Neurospora crassa OR74A: one gene and its partners. The protein of the gene in region 3 purifies or fractionates together with the protein of the main gene of each other region. This does not show direct contact. Links are inferred from orthologs where the notes say so. Each region holds a gene or a part of one and is shown on either strand. Other genes may lie near its edges.

Region 1 (4,079 bases), on a different chromosome or scaffold from region 3:
TTATGAGCTGTACTATTATTGCATGTGTATTATTGGCTTGAAAGATAGAGCAAGCATTACGGCCTCCTTTTGGAGTGATGGAAGAGACTACAGAACAAGAGCATAGTCATTTCGCTCTAGATATTCATGGTAACAGGCATGGTCGGACTTCTCTATAGAGTATTTTCTCGGTTTCCGACCTCATCTTACCGCTTCACATACCCAGGGTAAGAGGCAAAGGTCCGGCGTTGTAGAGGGCAGTTCTGGCATTCATTGATGCCTTGAACCTCATAATGGTAACGCAAATAAATGGTAGTTAGTCTTGTATTGACATTTCTTTCAATGATCAAACTTTGAGTTTCGGTACAGGTGCAATTGCCGCCGAGTATGATCAGTCCCTCGCCAATACTCCTGTCATTGAGCCCTGTCAGCTAGGATGGCGTATCAAGAGGTGTATATCACAAAGATGTGTAGCACAGTGAGCAGGCTGATTTTGTTCGAGCACCCTTTTTCCAATCTCTTCGGTCTCGTATAGTACGTCTCCCGATGACTTGAAGCGTTGTTCTCAATCGAATGTCAAAAAGAGGTTTGCATGTGTATGATCATATGAAATCGAGTTCTTTGTTTTGTAAGAGGTCATCCCTATTTCGAGGCGACCATTACCTCGTATTTTGAACATGGCCCTTTCTTACCCCCAACTCCTGTCTACAGTATAAGCTAGTAATTGCGTGATGCCAAACCACCCACCCAAGCCAGAACTCCTTTTTTCAATGCAAATGTTGATCCTGCCCTGCCCACAGATGTAAAAGTTTTACGATGCAAGACCCCATCGCCTACCCATTGCATCCACCCACAAGAGGTACCTAGGTACTTGGGTTCATTCCAACCATACTGAACCACCCCCGAATCCAAACCACCCTCTCTTACAAACCTGCCCCTCTTACTCCCCCTTCTTCCGACTCTTCAAATAATCCCTCAACTGCTCATGCTTGCTGGCAAAAAAGAGCTGCCTCTTATCATTCTTCCACACTAGTACGCCAATCTCCTCCGCATACCTGCTCAGCGCCGCGTACTCCTCCGTGCTCTCAAAGTCCTTGAACAAGAAGCCCGCCGTGGTCTGCATCCTTTCGTTCTCCAGCTGCCAAAGCCTGATCTGGTCCACCACCGTCGGGGGAAGCACCGGTTTACCCGTGACCGTGGCTTCGCGCACCATTTGTTGATGAGCATGCGCGTGTAGGTAGGAAATGATTTGGTCGGCGGTGATGCCGAAGCCGATTGCTTGGCGGATGGAGTCGCGGGTTAGGCGGCCCGAGACCATGTTGGGGAAACGCATGTTGAGCTGGCAGAAGAGAGCCAGGACGGCGATTTGTAGCGGGGAGGTGGTGTAGGCGTAGATACGATAGTTGGTCTCGATGATGATGCCCTTGGCTGCTGTCTGTGTTTTGTCGGGGGTGGCGGCGGGGCCGCCGCTGGTGCTGGTCGTGGTGCCGGGCTCGCCCGAGGGGTTGGCGGTTGCGGCCGTGAAAGCCGAGGAGACGGTGCGCAGGGCCGAGGCGGTACTGGTCAGTGTGGTGGCCAGGCGGGTAGGGAAAAACTGGCGCGTGTCGCGCGGGAAGTAGATGAGCCCGAAGTCGACGAGCGAGGGAAGCATATTCCGCCGCGTCTCGGTCAGGGCCGAAGTATCGTAGGCAGTTCCAAGCTCAAGCGAGCTGAGCATGAAGAGGAAGGAGAGCATGTCAATGCTGTCCATGCCCGAGTCGGCCGTGTGGTCGGCTGCTTCGAGCCAGAGGAGGAGGAGCGTCCATACTTGGGCGTTGGACTCCTGGAGAAGGAAGGTGAAACCGGCTTGCGTAATTCCGATTCCTGTACGGGTGTCTGGACGTCGTTCGACGAGGCGTCCGGCCAAGAGTAGTTCCTTCACACTGGCCTTGGGTCCGCTGACCCCTTCTGAGCTGCCGTGGACCCCAAGACTGTTGACAACGTAGTGGAGGATGTCGTCCCACTTCTTACGAGCGTACCTGTCCAGGTAGGCGATGTCGATGGAGGGATCGACGGGAAGAGAACTAGGGACGCCAAAGCTGCCATCTTCGCCGCCCCCTTCGAAGGCTAGTTGTAGGCCTTTCTTGAAGCTCGCCGTGATTTGGATTTCTTGGGTTCGGTCCTTGCTTGGTGGTGAGACCTGTAGGATGTGGAGGGATCGGAGAGCGGCAATGGTGCGATCGCGATGTATCTTTCCGCCGCCCTCTGGAGGGAACCATATGTCAAGGGAGGTTAACGGGAATGGGTCGGGCATGTACAGTAGACCTCGGACAATAACCTTGGCTATCGAGGGACAAAGGAGTTAGCTACATGCTATAGATTCGGCGTCCAAGACTTCGGTATCTGACTCGAGGAACAATTGCATACCATGATAAGACAGCATACGGCGGAAGATGGCCAAAGCTGTCGCTGGTGACTGGTACAGTCTCCTAAAAGCTGTACCTGGCAGCTTCTCCAAGTACTCGAGGAGCTGTTGTCCGCCGAGTGACATGGTGGATAGACGGGCGGGCACAGCGGGCCGCTAATAGAGATTCGTTATCGCTATGTGAATGGCAATGTGAAAGGTCAAGTCGAATATTCGGTAAACGTAGTGCTTCGAATGTCGTCAAGTCCAGATGGCTCGTCGAGAGGATCACGATGTAATGCTACTGGTTGACTTCTGCTGGCAGATATGGGGACCAAAACCAACTTCTAGGTGGAAAGTGTTATATCGACGGAAGTGTGATTTATGATGAATCGAGTATATGTTTATTCGGTAGGTACCCAGGGAATCGAGCGATAATGGTGTAGCCGGTGGCACTTGTGGGTGAAAGGCATAAGGTGCAAAAGAAGACCTTGAAGGCTGTTGATGATCATTGCGTTGTACGCGCGCGAGGATAGGTTGCCTGCCCCGTGGTGCCCTTGCAGGTGGTCACCAAGCATAAGTGGGGACTTCGGACCCTCGTGGCAGGCACTACCAGTCCCTGTTACGACGTCACCGTTCCACTGTCCGGCATTTGTCTACCGTCTCCCGGGTCGGCCAGTCTGCTTCTAAAGCCACTGTAACAGCGCCTGTCCCGGGTGGTGATTTCCGGCATTCACAGCAGTGTTCCGTCCCCAAGTCCACCTAGAGGTAGTCCAGACACCGCATCTGAAGCACACCTCGTGTATCCCTCTTACATCGTCTCCTATTTCGAGGTCAACAGCAACAAAAAAATGGCACCCAAGCTTCCACCAGCGAGATTCGTGAGATCGGTTAGTTCAGGAACTCATTTCACAGCTGCATTGACTCGGTTGCTTACAGCATGTTAGGTCCTGAAGTCGTTCATGGCCGAGTCCGGCCTTGAGCCGAGGTAAGTGATGACACATCACCATGGTCTGTCAAGAAGAGATCAAGACATGAGACTGACCAAATTTTACAGACTCCTCGGACCTCATGTAGGCAAAAGACACCACAAAATTCCATGGATACAACGAACATGTAACTGATATGACCAAACTAGCTCCGGGTAACCGGTGCCACCGAAGGCAAGGTCGACTTTGAACTCGACATCACCAAAGACCACACCAACCGTCTAAAGATCATCCACGGCGGGACCATCGCCAGCATGGTTGACCTTGGTGGTTCTCTGGCTGTAGCCTCGAAAGGACTCTACGCCACCGGTGTGTCGACGGATCTGAACGGTATGTTTCCTTCCTTCCATGAGATTGATTCATGCCTACTCGGACAAAAGAACTCCAGCCCAGTTATGTGCTGCTTTCCGCAAACACACAATACTAAAATGTATATGAAAAAACTCAGTTACCTACCTTAGTAGCGGTGGGAAAGTCGGCGAGAAGATTTCCGGGACCGCTGTGTGTGACAAGAGTAAGTCTTTCTTCCTGCCCCTTTGCATCAGCAACATGAATTATTGACATGACTAACCTTCATCATCAACAACCAAACAGTGGGCAAGACTCTTGCCTACACCACCGTCACTTTCCGCAACCAAAAGGGCGAGCTATGTGCCCGTGGTAGTCATACAAAGTATGTCGCCAACGCCTGGAAGTCCCAAAATGGGACTGAGCTCTTCACGCCTCCG
Region 2 (3,988 bases), on a different chromosome or scaffold from region 3:
GCGAAAGCAAGGACAAACACAAGAACCGCCCGTGTCTCCAGACCAGGAAAACGAAAGGCTGCAAAGGACGTACCATCATCAGACGATGATGGAGACGACGACAACGACCACGCAAAATTCGAAAAGATGGATGTCGACGAGCCGGAACCTGAGCCAGAATCAGAGCCGGAACCATCATCAAAGACGACCACCATGGGACAATCATCTTCTAGCAAAACCCTCGATCACGAGGACGTCACTGATAACGACGAGGACGAAGATGAGGTCCTCAATAAGACATCTGACCGCAACACCCCAGACCGCGACGACGATGACGAAACAGCCAGTGAGCCCGATGAGGAGGATGATGGGACTGTAGAAGCAGGGGACAAGGATCTTGATGTGCCGCCGCCTCCTTCACCGCCGCCTGCTAGACGACAACGCACGGCTGCGGCATCCTCGACAGCGACGACAACCCCTCAGAAAAAGACGACGGCTTCTGTTGTAGGAAAGGGAAAGGGAAAGGAGACGCTAACGCCCATTTCCCATACTAAGAGGGCCGGGGCGACGGCTACGAGAGCGTCTCAGCCTGCTGCTGTAGTAGATGAGGGGAGTGAGACTGAGTCTGATGATGAGTTATGAATGGACGGTGGACGTTGAACGCGAGTCGGGGGAGCATGATGTAACGATGGATAATGACTAGACATGTCCCCAATAACAGGTATCGATGGCTGAATCCTATAGTGGGAATCCATGTCCAGTAAAGTGATATTCGCAATAAAAGCTGTTTTATGGGTATTAGCACTGCATGTCAGACTCTATGTGTATATGTAGTTTTCCAAGCCTTTTGTCCGCTTTCGGTAGACATCCCACGAGCAATCTTGTGGGCTTTACCACTCCCTAGTCTCTAATCAGCCTCTTGACTGCCTGGTTCCCCGGCCCAGGACAAAAGAATCATCCACCATCAGTTACCTCTTCACTCTATTCCATACCTCGCTGAAGACTTATTTCAGCATCGTCCCTTTCCCATTCGCCTGCCCCCCTCCAGGAGGAGCAGCAGCCTTTGAAGGCAGCACAGGTAACTTCCTCCCGTAATTCCCCAACGCTAACTTGGTGCCGCATGTCAAACACTCCCCACCCTCGGGCACCTCGCAAAAAATGCTCAAGCAGATACTGCACACAAACCCCGTATCAATCACGTTCCGATGACAGAAACACGCCGCCCGGAAATCCACCGAGTCCGCACTAGGGGTGACCAACAGATCCGCCACGCTAGCATTACTCCCCAGAAACTTCTGGCCTCCATGCTTGGCCCCTCCCTTGGCCGCGGCGCCAAGGGCCTTCTCGCTCGCCTTGTCCTCTTTCCCCTTATGTCCCCCATGCTGCTGCTGAGACCGCTGGTTCCCTGCCGCCGCCAACCCCTGTGGCGCGCTCCCGCTTCCAAACCCAAACATCAAGTACTGCAATAGTCCCCTCGGCTCCTGCGCCCGTATAAACGTGCCGCGCGTAATATAGCTCGCCTGCTGCAAGAACGTTGCACTACCCCGCAGCGCCAGCGTGTCGATGGCAATGCGCGCGTGCGCCGCCGCGAACACAGCATTCATGGTAGGGATGTACTGCGAGGGGGAGCTGTCGCTTACGCTGACCACCAGGATGCGGGCGTGCAGGCCTGCCAGGCCGCCACCGCCGATGCCAGGGAGGGAGGCTGCGTTGCCGCCGCCTGGGCCGGCGCCGGAGGTTGTGGAGACGGAGGACTTGCCGCCTGCGGAGGAGGGGGTTGGGCCGGTGGCGGAGTTGGAGGGGGCGAAGAGGAGGGCGGTTTTGTTGATGTGCGCGAGGGCGAGGGTCAAGGCGCCGGAAATCTGGGTGGTGGTTGTAGAGGTGATGTCCTCGGTTGTGGTGTCGGTTATGAGAGATCGCAGGGAGGAGAGGAGGGAGCGCTCGATTTGGGCGAAGAGGGGGTATTTGTTTGCGGGCGGTGGAGATTGTTGTTTACTTGTGAAGGAGGCGTCGCGCATTTCGATGTCTTCGTTTGGATTTTGCGGGTGTCGGCCGGGGTTCTGGTCGGGTGCTGTTGGGTAGAGCCATACTGCCCGGTTCGTGTGTGATGCTATGAGAGCTACTTGGTTGGAGTTATTGAAGGCTAAGTGGGAGTTGACAAATATTAGAATGTTGGCGAGCGCTTTCGTGAGTGGGAGGACATCGTTCAGGGCGGCCCAGGCGCGTGGGTTGGTGTCGATGATTATGGTATAAAGGGAGGGGATATCATCGGTGTTGTAGATTTCGTAGTGTTCGGAGGCGTCGACGGCGTCCTGGACCGTCATCTTGACGATGATCTGGCAGGGACAGCCTCAACTCGCTTCAAGGTTGTGTGTGTTGTAGAGCTATATCGTGGATCGAAGCCAGTTGGTGTACATGACGTAGGCCTTTTGTCGCCGCGATACTCAGTGCGCCGGTGCTCGTAGGGAGCTTGTCTGGATGCTGGATCGAGAGATGGCAGGATAGCTAAGCGGGCGCTCTGTTGTGTGATATTCGTTATAGTTGTTGTCTGGATTGGTTATGTCTGCTGAATAGGATTGACGCGCCCAAGAAGACCTTCTCGTCGAGAACACTGCAGATGCGATAACGTAACGGAGAAATGCGATAACGATTTCGGGGTTGCAAGCGAAACGCGATCCAAGTGAAGGCCAAAGGATCCTGGTCCAAGTGCACACGCTACCACGTGATACCCGATAAGGCAGATTGCCGGCATTTTCCTTAGTGGTCAAAAGATATGCAGTTAGAGCACTAACATGCAGTTAAACATACAGATGTAGTCCAGTTCTCGCTTTCCTATTGGTCAAGATATCCTAGCTCCTCTATGTACAATGATATCACCTTCATCCGAACATGTCCTTCATCTCTCATCTTATTCTTCTCTTCCTGCTGTGTCCGATTCTAGTTCAACGACCCCAGCATTACCACCAAAACAGCCGGGTGATGAACACGCAAGCGTGCATAACTTTTGACACCAACAGCGAGGTCATCTTTTTCCTTTGATCCATCCACACCATCACATGTTCCCTTTTCGGTTTATTCACATATCGTACGAGGATCTCCTTTAGAAGGATGGCGCAAGACTGTCAACCGAGAGTGGCTTAAAGTCACCGGCTGTGCAATTCAAGGTGTCCTTGGTCTGTAGTCGGGCTCTTATTGGCTTAGGGGTTACCCCGGTGACGACAGCTTTACGTTGGAAGCCTATGGCCAAGACTATCATCGATAGGTATTGTGAGGTTTTGAGGAAGAGAAGTACAAGTATCTAAGGAAGGGGCAGCCAGGTAGGTAAGGAATAGACAAAACTGAAGCTCAATTTAAGACATTGTTCTTTCCATGCTCTCGCAATATGTAACTGCCTTGATTACTCCCGATTATCTACCTCTAGCACTGTAACCACCACCGAATATTCCCCTATGGTAAGTTGTTCAAGTTCCCGATCTTATAACACCCTTCACTCATACATAGTAGACACAGGAATCTTTCAAGGCCGGCGACATTATAACCCCGGTAGCTCTTCCAGATCAAAGAACAGAAAAGCGAACTTGTCTTCCGAGACAATAATTTACCTTCCAGAACGACGGCAACTTAGTTCTTCATGAATATGCCGAGCCCAGGTGGAACTCATGCGGTCGTCTCTCTATGGACAAAGTGGACGCTGGCTTGTTTCGACCAGTAACGGCAATATGACAAACAGTCTTCCCGGTGGTCATCTCGAGCAAGATGCCGACGCACCGGAGGAAACTATAAATCAATAGTCCAACATGACGGTGCCGCGGTGCCGAAGCTCGATGGAGTCACCCCTGGACCGGCGTTAATGGAGGCTCGGCACAAACATACGAACCCTGTGATGTGAAGTCTCTGAACCCTACTGCTTTTCCTAGAAACAATAGTTCGACAACCGCGCATCCACCTATATCCGCGCGGTCGATCTCAGTTACCGCGCCGACCACGTCCGTGGTGGATCCCCGAGGAA
Region 3 (3,705 bases):
CATCTAGCGCGGCGTTCCTTTTGCTTTTTGTTTTATTTTCTTTTATTTTGTATTTTTTGAGCTCAGCTCTTTTTTCTCACCCGCCTTCGTTATTCGATTCGGCAATCCTGATCTTTCGGTATTGTTGCCGCGAGTCTTCTGACGGTGCCCCTCCTTAGTCTACCGAAAGGACAGCCAATGTTCGGGTAAGCAGGGCGGTTTGATGCTCGTACCTTCGAAATGGGTGGCAATAAGGCAGTCAAGGATTGACTGTGAAGAGATCAGGCTTTTTTTTCCGCCGTCGAGTGCTTCTTAACGAGCAGGGCCAGATACAAGGCTTAGCAGCGCAGCGCAAGGGGGAGGGGGGAAGAATAGTTGGAATGGAACGCTACATAAAAACGGTGGAATGGGGTCCGGGCATCTCGAGATAAAGGAGTGAAAGAGGTATGGTATGATAAATGGTCATACCATCAAAACTTTCAGGATTGGCTGCCAACACTCTCTCCAGGAATGGCCAGCAAGGGAGGCATACACATTTTTGCAGTAGGGAAGCCTGGAGGCTCTTTTTGTTTGGTAAATCTTAATCTATATATTTTTTTGGGCATTTTTGTGATCAATCGACGCACTCTTATTAGTCTGAATTTCTTTTTCTTCTTCTTTTCTCCATCATCATCGTCGTCCCAATCCCTCACACAAAACGTGGTCTTCAGTGACCTTGATACTCCTTACAAGTAGACAGATGGCTTGATGGGTGGCAAAGAGTAGTGAATGTACTGCAGTTCGCCAAGTTCTGTCTTATGTGGCTGCTGGACTGCGACCATTCGCATAATGAATTTCGAACCCAGAAATCCACAGCAGACCCGAATATTTGCGCCCTCTAAAACCACCGAGTCTGAAGTTGATCTATATGATGCTGGTCCCGCCTCATGTGTGTTCCTAAATCCAGATCCGTCGGAGAGGAAAAAGAAAAATATTCAATCGCTGAGTGAACGCCGTCGCTATGCAACAAAAACACCATTACCGCCAACCAAAAGGCCGGGGCATACCGGTCCAGAACCACTCTCAGTCCAAATCCATCTTATCCGCGTCAACCACAGCGGCGATCCCCGCCGCCATGCTCGTCTCTTGTGACAGCCCAATACCACTGCCGACCTCCTTCTCATCCTCAACAAACACACCCAACCCAGCAAACGCTTCATACAAGGCGCGCGCCGCAAAGTCGTCAAAGCTGTACCCACCAGCAACGTGCTGTCTGTCCAACCGGTACTTCTCCATAAGCGGGTGACTCAAGCCTCCATGTAGCTTGTACCGACTAGGCGCGAAGTCCATGCCTCCAAAGGGGTCGTACGGGCCCTGTGGCGCCGGCGCCTTCGGCTTCTCCTTCAAGCCGCGGATGGACAAACGCTCAACCTCCGACGCGCCCGTGCCCATTCCCGTTGTTGCGATGGCAGGGTTGGAAGCTGTTTCAGCAACCCGATTCACCTGCCCACGCCTCTTTAGCTGTACCTTCGTCGCCGGCTCCGCTGTCATAGCAGTGGTTCCCTTGGCCAGGTTATCCAGCTCCATTTCGCGACTCCTCACCCTCTCTCTTTTCTCCGCCTCCGCCTCCTTGATAGCCTCAATCCTCCTCTGCCTGACAGCATCCCTTTCGGCTGCCAGCCTCACTCTTGAAATCTCATCCGCCTCCCTCCCCGCCTTCTTATTCCGTTCAATATCCGCCCTATGCTCCGCCTCCCATGCCTGCAATTGCGCCTCCGCCTGCCGTCTCCTCTCATCCGTCCCATTGACAAGTTCAAACGTCAAATCTTCCACCATCTGCAAGTAATTATTATAATCCTGGAGCGTCTCAAAGTCGTCCTCGACTTGGTTGAACACCGCCGCCACGCGACGGCGGATGTCGACCTCGCGCTCGACGGCCAAGTCGCCGAAAAAAGCCGAGCGGAAGCCCTTGCGACGGAGCGTTTTGTTGCAGCCGGCGTGCGGACATTGATTGGGTCCGTCGTTGAAGAGTCGGTTGGCACAGTTGAGACACATGGAGTGGTAGCATTCGGGGTTGAAGACGAAGACGATGTCGGGGTTGAGGTACTTGCGCGATTTGCAGACGGGGCACATTTCGTCTTCGAAGCCGAGGGGGTCGAGAGGGCGCGCCATGGTGGGTGGTTTCTTTTTTTTTTGGGGGGGGGGGGGGGGGGGGGGGGGTTGTTTTGATAATTTCGCTTCGAGGAGACGGGGATCGATGTGCTGAAGTGGGATTTCCAAAGGTTAAATGATGGCCAAGAGAAATGTATGCTGAATTATAGCGAGGAGTGGGCGTTTCCCTTCGAAGGGACAGTAGTCCGTATCTGAGAACTCGGGACGTCTCTTGATGTGTCGGTGAGTGAGTGGCGATCGCGGCCCAAATCTTCTTTTATATCTGTTTGGTGATCGTGATTTGGCGACGAGGACTTGTACTCGTCTTGTTAGGTGATGAAATGTTGTTCTAAAATGCCAGCTCGGCTAGGCAGAAATTCCGGGTCACGCAGTCATGTATCAACGGTGGATAGGGAAGGTGATGAAAATCAACCAAGTGGAAGTCTGGGTGAAACCCGAGTGAGATTGACGATGTGGTGAAAGAGGGACTGATAAGAGTTATTATGCTTGGGCTGAATAATCCTTGTTTCCACTTGGCCCCCAACCGCGCCAGCGCTCCAATGGACGCTACCCTGGCGGTGCAGGGTGGGGCTTCCCAGATCATTCACAGCACGGCACTCTGCCGCGCTCATCTGGCAGCTCTGTCTCAGGGGACTGGACGCGGGCAAGCGTGGGGTGAGCAGGGGCTACCAGGGCAGTGACAGCAGCCGCTCGCGGGCAGCTCCTAGGATTGGGATTGGGCGGCCGCAGCCGTTCCATGCGGGTTACCTGCCCCTCCAGAAATTCGGTCATCGCGTTCAGGCGCGTTCCATCGTCTTCTACTTACATTACCGCACATTGCACCACTGCACCACTGCACCAAGCTGCCGTCGTTGCCCAATATCTACACCGAATTCAACAATACCACCTTCAACATGGCTGACAAAGGTGCGTTTTAGAGCTCAACTCCTCTTGCTCCCAAGACCAGAAAGTCCATCCGCCATCAACAGGTCCCACTAGTCAACTGACCAAACAATGTCAGACGTAACAGAGCTCACCCCCGCCGAGGAGGCCGCTGCCCGCGCCAAGGAACAAGCCGAGCAGGAGGCTCTCCCCTACAAGTGGACTCAGACGATTGGCGACGTCGACATCACCATCCTCGTCCCTGGTAACCTAAAGGGCAAAGATATGGTGGTTGAGATAAAGAAGCAGTCTCTTACGGCTGGTATTAAGGGTCAAGAGCCCGTCATCAAGGTAACCAACCTACTTGCCCACATATCTACAAATCACAACCCTTGCAACTTTCCAACGCCGCCTATACCATACCACCCAATGTCGCATGCCGAGTAGCTCGATTCTGACACCTCCCACAAAACCAGGGCGACCTCCCCCACCCGATCCTCCTCGACGATTCAACTTGGACGCTGTCCCCCGCTCCCGCCGGTCAAAAAGCCCTGGAGATCCATCTCGAAAAGCACAACAAGCTCGAGTGGTGGCCGCACGTAGTCACCAGCGCCCCGAAAATCGACGTGAGCAAGATCGTCCCCGAGAACAGCAAGCTGTCGGACCTCGAGGGTGAGACGCGGGCAATGGTGGAGAAGATGATGTACGACCAAA

Evidence for each region.
Region 1: the proteins of NCU02587 (region 3) and NCU05523 purify together in Saccharomyces cerevisiae (affinity purification with western blotting; 4 studies listed by BioGRID, with this or other methods). This does not show direct contact. The link is inferred for Neurospora crassa OR74A from reciprocal best matches to the Saccharomyces cerevisiae genes TFB3 and TFB2.
Region 2: the proteins of NCU02587 (region 3) and NCU01580 purify together in Saccharomyces cerevisiae (affinity purification with western blotting; 5 studies listed by BioGRID, with this or other methods). This does not show direct contact. The link is inferred for Neurospora crassa OR74A from reciprocal best matches to the Saccharomyces cerevisiae genes TFB3 and TFB4.

Annotation. Positions count from the first base shown.
Region 1 is NC_026506.1:1,624,900-1,628,978, forward strand, and holds NCU05523 (transcription factor tfb2), read right to left. Parts: upstream 2,858-4,079; 5' UTR 2,510-2,857; coding exon 2,386-2,509; intron 2,302-2,385; coding exon 920-2,301; 3' UTR 586-919; downstream 1-585. Other genes in the region: NCU05522 (PaaI thioesterase), read left to right, coding at 3,214-3,252, 3,310-3,350, 3,420-3,435, 3,501-3,681, 3,800-3,865, 3,946-4,079. UniProt on the Saccharomyces cerevisiae protein: Component of the general transcription and DNA repair factor IIH (TFIIH) core complex, which is involved in general and transcription-coupled nucleotide excision repair (NER) of damaged DNA and, when complexed to TFIIK, in RNA transcription by RNA polymerase II.
Region 2 is NC_026502.1:3,029,872-3,033,859, forward strand, and holds NCU01580 (transcription factor TFIIH subunit Tfb4), read right to left. Parts: upstream 2,623-3,988; 5' UTR 2,304-2,622; coding exon 984-2,303; 3' UTR 622-983; downstream 1-621. Other genes in the region: NCU01581 (hypothetical protein), read left to right, coding at 1-621. UniProt on the Saccharomyces cerevisiae protein: Component of the general transcription and DNA repair factor IIH (TFIIH) core complex, which is involved in general and transcription-coupled nucleotide excision repair (NER) of damaged DNA and, when complexed to TFIIK, in RNA transcription by RNA polymerase II.
Region 3 is NC_026501.1:2,825,175-2,828,879, forward strand, and holds NCU02587 (RNA polymerase II transcription factor B subunit 3), read right to left. Parts: upstream 2,131-3,705; coding exon 1,042-2,130; 3' UTR 520-1,041; downstream 1-519. Other genes in the region: NCU02588 (nuclear movement protein nudC, variant 1), read left to right, coding at 3,024-3,036, 3,131-3,342, 3,468-3,705. UniProt on the Saccharomyces cerevisiae protein: Acts as a component of the general transcription and DNA repair factor IIH (TFIIH or factor B), which is essential for both basal and activated transcription, and is involved in nucleotide excision repair (NER) of damaged DNA.